Arabidopsis thaliana: one gene and its partner. The protein of the gene in region 1 purifies or fractionates together with the protein of each later gene. This does not show direct contact. Each region holds a gene or a part of one and is shown on either strand. Other genes may lie near its edges.

Region 1 (4,941 bases):
CTGGAGATCTTGAATGCATATGTACCTATTTCTATGTAAACGATCAAACACAATAATTGAAATCGGTTGAATGATCAAAAGTATAGAAAAATATCATCACACTGATTGTGTTTGGATCTTTTATACAATATTGATGATAACATGAAAAACAAATAATGCCATAGCACATGTAGCTAGGTAGATGTAGACTGTAGTAAGATCTGAGATTTGATCCAATTATTTTTTCATTTTTATTTATGTCATGGTCGATCTACTGTTTATACGTAACGTCAAAATCAATAATTGAACTTGTAAAAGGATCCTATATTTTTTAAAATATATATTTGTTCTTGGTAAATTACTTGCTCCCAACTTATTGTGAAAACGTATGTCACTCAAGGGAACATAGAGGAAATGGGAGCACGTTAGCTGTTCGTATGTGGCTACAATATCTTCTTATAGAGCACGTTAGCACTCACCAAGTCAAAACAGACCTGGGCCGGTTTGCAGATAACAACTGTGTGAGCCCATTAAAATCTAAAACGGCATCGTCTAGTAGTCTTTAGTCGCAATCAAACCACAAACCCTAAGATCATCTCTTTAAATTACCATCCGTCTTCTGCAATTACACAAGTGATTCGAATCGCAATCAAACCACAAACCCTAAGATCAACACAGATCCTAATACTCTCTGATCATTCCTTTAAACCGTTCTTTAGTTTTGCTAATTAAAATAGACTTTTCTAGGTTTTATTATTTCAGACAATTAATTATTATCGAACTTTGCCACAACGGATGACATTTCCCGGTATCGGATTTTCATCTCTAACCGGAATAGTCGAAGGATCTTCTTCTCCTTCACCTTTAACTCTCATATAAAGCTCTTGACCAAGATACCATTGCTCTGCTTTCTGTGATCTCACGTTCCACATTCCTTGATTATCCATAGCTATCAATATTGCTGTCCACGAATATGGATAAACCTAAACACACACAGAATCAATTAACCAAAACTAATCACTGGTTTAATACTTTAAATTACGAGATTAGATATGGCTTAACCTGAACTGTTGACCGTGAAACAGCATCTACTAAGTTATATCCAGCTTTTTTGCTTTCAGACCAAGCTCCAAATCCATATCTAACATTAAACTCAAATAAAATTAGTACACCTAATTTAATCATCATACACATAATTATGATTTAAATATTGTAATTTTTACCCGACAACGAAGAAATTGTAACCATCGATGTGATAACTCTCCAATCCAAATAGAGGGTTCTGGAACACGATGTGGATGAAATCTTTGTAATGAATATCGACCACTGAAGTTCCAAGAGTCGGTGTTTTGTTGGATGGATAAACCGGGAACATGCCAGGGATTATCGTGTCATTTAGCTGAAAATGATCAACGAGCTTTAACGGAGTCTCGGGGTAGACAAACGAAACGCCGTTAATCGTATACCGTAGTTTGCCCGACGATAACATAACGTCGTTATGTAATATTATCGTTCTGGTTACGTTTATTCGTCCATAGTGGTACGAACCTTGAGGGTTCGATCTTGCTGCTCCAACGTTCAGGTCCATTCTGTGTCGTACACTTAACGTTTATTAGTCAAGAACAAATACTAAACGAAATATTTCATATAAAAGTTTTTATTCTTTGGTATAAAAAAAGAGTATTTCTTTACCTAATGGAAAGGGCTTGTTCAACTGAGGAACCAAAATCTTGCAAAGCAGGTGCGAGTGGACCTTGTCCGACTGGGTCAAGTGGGGAACCGGGATATCGAATTAAAGCTATACCGCCAAGGTAGGAATCAGTGAACCGAGCTGTGGCGAATATGTAGTAAGACCGGTAAATTCCAACCGGGTCGGTTTTGGCAGTGACAAGAATAGAGTATGATTGGCCTACGTGGATGTCCAGGCTCGAGTAAACACGTTTTTGAACATACGTACCCTCTGTCTCAACTAGAAGCATATCGTGGTCTTGGATTCTGAAGTTTAAGCATGTTTTGAGACCCACGTTTGATATTCTTAGCCTATATGTTTTGCCTGTGATTATATATAGACAACATAAAAAGAACATTTGTGTGTAAACTACATTATTAAAGATATAATGTAATATTTTTAAAAGAAGAAAAAAACTCACCTGGTTCAAATGCAAAGAAGGTCTCTTCAGGGCCACGCCCGTTAAAAAGAATACCATCAGGATTTGGCAAACTGTGACCAGCGTCAAGTGAAGCTCTCATAACCTTACACCAAAATTTGGAAACCAAGTGTTAATTATGCAAATCAAGCAAAACATCTTTTACAATGAAACTAATAACACATTCAATAAATGGGCAAGATAAAACTCAATAACCAAAATGATTATGATCTACAAAATTAGTTTTTTTATATATAAAAAGGATAGTATTGGAATGTAGGTTTGATGATAATACGGTAATTTATCAAAGAAACATACTGTATGGTCGAGATAAAACCAATCTCCAATCAAGATGTCGTATTCTTCGTCGGGCTTAGGGAATGGGACTGGGACAAGTTCTGGGGGATAGATTCTAATAGCACCGTATCCTCCGGCAGCTTTCTGAAGTAGAAGGGTCGGAAAATAAAAGTAACTTCCAATTTGATCCTTCACCTGAAAACGGTACGTCCAATTTGTCCCCGGTAGTATGGGACAGTTTGTCCCTCGAACTCCATCTTGCCACGAGTTCTTCCGCAATTGCAATCCATTCCTTTAATTTACATAGAGGTTTAATAACAATTATTCCTAAAATTAACCCAAAACAAAAAGTTGAAAATATATACCAAGTCATGAGGAAGGGTTCGGGCAAATTGTTGAAAATGTTAACGACAATGATATCGTTTGCTGTTGCATTAAGGATCGGTCCAGGGAACATGTCGTTGATCACTATAACCTATAGATTTTTTTTTTGGTGAATACTATAACCTATAGATTGATCATGCATCTGAAATTTCATATAAGATAGCTAAAACCATATTATTGTAACAAATAAAAACATATTCAAATGAAAATGGTTACCTGCTTGTTGCCTCCAAGAATGAAACGTTGAGAATACGAGACGACCCATTGATACGATGAGATTGGTGCAAACGCATAGCTCAACTCCAAGATGACCAAAGAGATCAGAACCAACACCTCGACAAAGACATGTCTCATCGCGAAAAGAGTGATTTAAGAAATTTTAAGATGCTTGTGATGTGAAAAAGAGGTGTTAGAGGCAAGACGTAGCTACATATTTTTCTTTGGAACAATATATTAATTAGACGACAACTATTGTTACTCTGTTTGGAGTTAACGTTTGTTTTGTGCTATGTTTTTTGAATATGATCGAAAAGTTCATGCAATCTGCATTTCCAACCTAATTTATGGGCAGCACATTTGTGCTTTTGTTAAAATTTGCTGGGCTTATTCATTATACTAAACCATGCATAAAGGCCCATTAAATATCTTATTGTAATGTGACGGACGAAAAAAAAAACGTGAGGGAGGACGATGGCAATTGCTTACGATATATTGTAAAGTGGATGTGACCTGTCTGTCTACACAATATTACAAAGATGGTCGCTATTACTCCTACAAAAAATAATACAACGCAAAACAATTATTGAAAAATTATTCATCACTTTTGTATCTTTCAAACTTTCACAGTTCACACCACCTAAAAAACAGTAAAAAGTAACAACATTATCACTTTCCACAACAAAATATCTAACAACTTTGAGTATACAGAAATGTACATAGTACATACGTATAAGCAAAATGAATTTTGTTTCTCCTTTTTTTTCCTGGTGTATATCGTTGCAAACTTGCAATTGATCAATAAAACGCAAAGATATTATATTGAACAAATAAATAATTTTTATATAGCCAAGATATTATATGGATCCTCATTCCTCAAATATAATAATTTACATGGCCCGCGATTATCATGAAAGACGTTGAAACGTCCACTAATCGTACCTAGTTGTTCTGAAAATGAAATGATGATTTTATAAATGATATGGTTTTAGACTTTTGAAGTTCTTCATCACTTATTGTTAGATGAAACAACAACGTTGCATTCAAATCTCAAATTCCTATAAATCACAGATAAAAAAGTAATTTTGTTTTACACGTCTACGTGGTTACAAATCCTAATCACGTAACTAAACAGTAAAGTTAAAGAATCTTGAAAAATAAAGATCTACTTTACGTTTTGTAGATATTTTTAATTAAAAGTGAACGTCAAAAGGTAATTGGATATTTTCGTTAAAATGTTATCAATCAAACTCGGACAACAATTAGTGGTAATTTAACTATTTAAAAACCAGACTAACCCATTATCGTATAGTGCTAATTATGAACTATGAACCGATTAAACAACAAAATTTACTATATAAAATCATCAGGTGCTTTTCTTAATCTCAACGGTTAAAAAAAATAACCAATTAGATGTGTCCACGTAAGCAGGCGTACCATAAGCTACCAACCAACACATACACCAGATTCTCACCAACAGAGGAAAAAAGCTTCTACTATAAAGCACACATCTTCTTCTTCATCTCTCTTTCGCTCTCAGAATCCTCTTTTAAGTCTCTGTTTCATAAATAAAACTAATAAAGAAGAAGAAGAAAACAGAGCAATTAAAGTCCTTAAATCTTCTTCTTCTCCAATTCAATGGCTCTTCCGTTGCCATTGATCTTCCTTATCTTCTCTCATTTGTTCGTTTCTGGTACGAATCTTCTCCTATAGATCAACTTTAGTTATGATTAATAATACTGTGATTCTGATGATTTTATGGTTTTATAAACAGGAGTTAGATCAACGAGCTTCATTATGGTGAACAAATGCGAATACACAGTCTGGCCTGGACTTTTATCAAACGCCGGAGTTCCACCACTTCCGACGACCGGATTCGTTCTCCAAAAAGGCGAAGAACGAACAATCAGCGCTCCAA
Region 2 (4,281 bases), 220 kb from region 1:
GTGACAGGTTGTCCATGGGAAATTCTGCAGAGGCTATGACGATTACTTTTTTTGTTGTTCTTATCAAAACTAAAATTAATCTGAAGATTGTTTTGTTTTGCGACCATCTTTAACATTTATTCAAACGCATGGATTATTGCATTTGACGTTGTGATATATATTCTTGTATTTTCCATCTTCTCAAAGTAACTAATATGAATGTAGAGCCAATTAGAACAAGCATTAATTAATGAAATGAACTAATCTGCATGTCTAATTATTCACACGTACGTACGCATAGATAATTTGTGAAACTAATTAGACTATTAGTCGTATATTGATGAACGTACTGATGAGATATCATTACAGTAGAGCCTGTGATTAAGCTTTCAATAGGAAAACATCTCCATGCTAGGACGACATGGTCCACAAAATATGGCTTTCTTGAGTATTATTAATCTTGATGAAGACTATACAAGTTGTATTATACTTGTAAAAACATTTTAATAATAACAAGTAATTTTATATAGTATATTAAAAGGAAAAGTAAAAAGGGGTAGAGTGAAATAGGAAAGAAGAAAAGACATGAGTAAGAAGAAATGGTGTTTGGACAAATTAGGGTTTGAAAAAAAAAGATTAAGGAGCGAGAGAGAGGGATGTAATAATGAAGAAGGAGGGAAGAGAGAGAGAGAAGGGGGCCCATAATGTGGCAGGGCATGTGGCTGGGCTTCCAACTTGACCTTGTCGGTTGTTCTCTGCACTGCCCTTCTCTGCAACCCACACACCTCTCTCTCTCTTTTTTCTTTCATTTTAAAATGAATATATCTCATTATTTCATCTTAATTAAGGAAATTTAGCTAATTCAAATCATGTAGTTACTTTGTTTGTGCTAAATTATGTCTACAGATAAGAGTATTATCCAACAGTTTCAAGGTATATAGTGACAAAAACACAATCTATATAGAAAAATAGTAAAATACAGAAACAAAGATTACGTAATAAGATTATCCGATACCATCAAGTTACTACATATGATCCATTTGGCACAAATTACAATGTTTTAGTTAAATTAATATTAGGTTGACTATTAAAATTGTTTAATATAGTATGCTTACAAGAGATTAACTATTTGAACATACAAGCAACAGTCTAAGCCCATTTCGGTGCATTATCCAGCTTTTTTGTTGTATAATTTTTCTCCAATTTTCAAGTAGTACTATATTTTTGCAAATTTATTTATAGTAAACGCGTTAATGACGTACTGTACACAGTAAAAATGAGCTCATAAAAACCCGAGATAGAATGTCAATTATTGCATCAGTTTCATGCGAGTTACACATATTACGAAATTTTGTGCTTCAAGTTACTATTCAACCACTATGTGTTTAGAGTAGTACTAGACCAATCAATTCATACAAAAATAAATCATTTGATTCAACGAATATTAATTATGCAATGTTAAGAACTACTAAAACTTTTTGGATACTCTCATATAGAAAAAAAAGACATATATAATCAGGAGGACACTCTATCGGACTCGCATTAACTTGAAGATTGAACTCAATATAGCCAGAAGTACATCTGTTTCCAAAAAACTGTGACAAATTTCCACATATCTTAAAAAAATTACAATTATTCCTGTTAACTATAGAGTAAAAATAATAATTAATTAGCCAAAAACCACAAAATAATAGTTTCCCATATTATTATTTTTCTGTATATTTTCTTTTTCATTTTAATCTGTCTTTATGATTAAGTTTGATAGTAAAAGGGTCAGTAAATAAACTACAAATCACATTCTGCTCTAAAGTACTATAAAGTAACAATATTATAGGATAAATCTCTTGTAAACACACACAAATAATCGAAATAGTAATTCAGAAATTCTCTTCTCATTAAAAATATAGAAGCCCTCATAAATATATATAAAAAGGTTATAAAAGCGCATTTAAAAATATAATACTAAAATGATAAATACAGATTAATGGAAGAAGTATAATAAAGAAGTACTTAATAAGTATAAGTATATAGTAGTAGGGTATGACATTAGTGTCATCTCTCACAAAGGGCTCAGCTCTTATCTCTTTCTCTCATGGCCTCACCACAAGCAACCAAATTGTCTCTTATAATCCGATCTCAAAGGTTGGCTTGTTGGGAGCACTGAGACATCAAACATGGTTTCTTCTTTCTTTCACTCTTAAAAAAACCAATTTAGCCCTAAAAACCTCCTTTTAGTTTAATCCCAAAAGTTCCTCAAATCTCTTCTATTCTCTCTCTCTCTCCATTAAAACCCTTCACAAGCAAAAAGCTTTGAGCTTTAAATGAGTTTAAGGTCCTGCAAAAACTGGGTTTTTCCTCGTGTACTTGTTCATCTTATCTCCTCTGTAAGTCTCTGATTCTCACTGCCATTTAGTTTTCTTTTTTGCCTTATTAGTAATCTCATTATCATGTTCTTTTTCAGGCATAAACTTCATTGAAGAAAAAGTCTTTTTTATTTTGTTGATCTCTTTTAATTAAGATCCTTTTGGGTTTTAATTTATTAATCTCCAAGAAAAAAAATGGATATGAGAAGCCATGAAATGATAGAGAGAAGAAGAGAAGACAATGGCAACAACAATGGTGGTGTTGTTATTAGTAACATCATTAGTACTAATATTGATGATAATTGCAATGGTAATAACAACAACACTCGTGTCTCTTGCAACTCTCAAACCCTAGATCACCACCAATCCAAGTCTCCCTCTTCGTTTTCCATCTCCGCCGCAGCTAAACCCACCGTAAGATACCGTGAGTGTCTAAAGAATCATGCGGCGAGCGTCGGCGGAAGTGTTCACGACGGATGCGGCGAGTTTATGCCGAGTGGTGAAGAAGGAACAATCGAAGCTCTCAGATGCGCTGCTTGTGATTGTCACCGTAATTTCCACCGGAAAGAAATGGACGGCGTTGGAAGCTCGGATTTGATCTCTCACCACCGTCATCACCACTACCACCATAACCAATACGGTGGAGGAGGAGGGAGAAGACCTCCGCCGCCGAATATGATGCTTAACCCACTCATGCTTCCTCCGCCACCGAATTATCAGCCGATTCACCACCACAAGTATGGAATGAGTCCTCCCGGAGGAGGAGGAATGGTGACGCCGATGAGCGTTGCTTACGGCGGTGGAGGAGGAGGAGCTGAGTCGTCTAGTGAAGATCTGAATCTGTACGGACAATCAAGCGGAGAAGGAGCTGGTGCGGCGGCGGGACAAATGGCGTTTTCGATGTCGTCGTCTAAGAAAAGATTCAGGACAAAGTTCACGACGGATCAGAAGGAGAGGATGATGGACTTTGCGGAGAAGCTAGGGTGGAGGATGAACAAGCAAGACGAAGAAGAGCTTAAGAGATTCTGCGGCGAGATCGGAGTGAAGAGACAAGTCTTCAAAGTTTGGATGCATAACAACAAGAACAATGCTAAGAAACCACCAACACCAACAACTACTCTCTAATCAGTGATCATATGATTAATTGAGAGATTATGTAAGAGATTTTCTTTTAATCTACTTTTGTTGTTGTTGTTTATTTAATGTTTTCCTTCTTCTAGGTTTTTGTAGTTTGTACGATCTTTGGATCAATCAATGGATCTTTTGTTTGCTTAGTTAATGTTTTTAATTTTGGTTTGCCTTTTTTTTTTAGTCTTTTTATTTTATTTTGTTTGTCTTTTACCCGGATCGTACTTGTAATCAGCTTCTGTTGCTTCTAGTTTATGCTTCTGTCTTTTTTACATTTAAGCTTAACACAAACAATTCTGCTGTACTAACTTAGATAGCCAAATACAAAACACTATAATTAACATTTTAATACAAGAAAACAAAATAATAATAATGCAAACATTGTAAACGTATAATGCAGCCATTATAGTACCTTTTTATATAATCATGAATAAAATGTTAATTAACAGAATTATTTTTGGCAGATTAACTTATCCGTATCAATATTTTAATTTTTTGATATATTGTAACGGTAGATATAACAATGATTTTAGAATTTTTTTATAGATATATATGACAAATTATATGAATACGCAAGCGTTATGATCAAAGTTGAACTTTTTAAAATGTTTGATGTGAAATATGTCCAAAATTGTAACCATATGATTTGAGTCTACTGTAGATCTGTCACCTTCCAACTTCTGTACCAAAAAGAAAAACATGTGAAAAGAAAATTTCTAAAAAACAGAAAAAGAGAAGATTCTCATTGTTATAAAATTCATAGATGAGGCCAAAATTATAGAACTCACGACCTATGTATCTTCTTCTTTTC

The links. Proteins that work in one complex are often made in the same cells at the same time.
Region 2: the proteins of sks18 (region 1) and HB33 fractionate together in Arabidopsis thaliana (co-fractionation; one large-scale study listed by BioGRID). This does not show direct contact.

The regions. Positions count from the first base shown.
Region 1 is NC_003070.9:28,454,228-28,459,168, forward strand, and holds sks18 (SKU5 similar 18), read right to left. Parts: upstream 3,302-4,941; 5' UTR 3,162-3,301; coding exon 3,024-3,161; intron 2,899-3,023; coding exon 2,789-2,898; intron 2,716-2,788; coding exon 2,445-2,715; intron 2,233-2,444; coding exon 2,130-2,232; intron 2,033-2,129; coding exon 1,672-2,032; intron 1,569-1,671; coding exon 1,203-1,568; intron 1,121-1,202; coding exon 1,042-1,120; intron 963-1,041; coding exon 753-962; 3' UTR 554-752; downstream 1-553. Other genes in the region: AT1G75800 (Pathogenesis-related thaumatin superfamily protein), read left to right, coding at 4,662-4,716, 4,798-4,941.
Region 2 is NC_003070.9:28,239,039-28,243,319, forward strand, and holds HB33 (homeobox protein 33), read left to right. Parts: upstream 1-1,972; 5' UTR 1,973-2,363; intron 2,364-2,440; 5' UTR 2,441-2,537; coding exon 2,538-3,467; 3' UTR 3,468-3,757; downstream 3,758-4,281. UniProt on the Arabidopsis thaliana protein: Putative transcription factor. Binds DNA at 5'-ATTA-3' consensus promoter regions. Regulates floral architecture and leaf development. Regulators in the abscisic acid (ABA) signal pathway that confers sensitivity to ABA in an ARF2-dependent manner.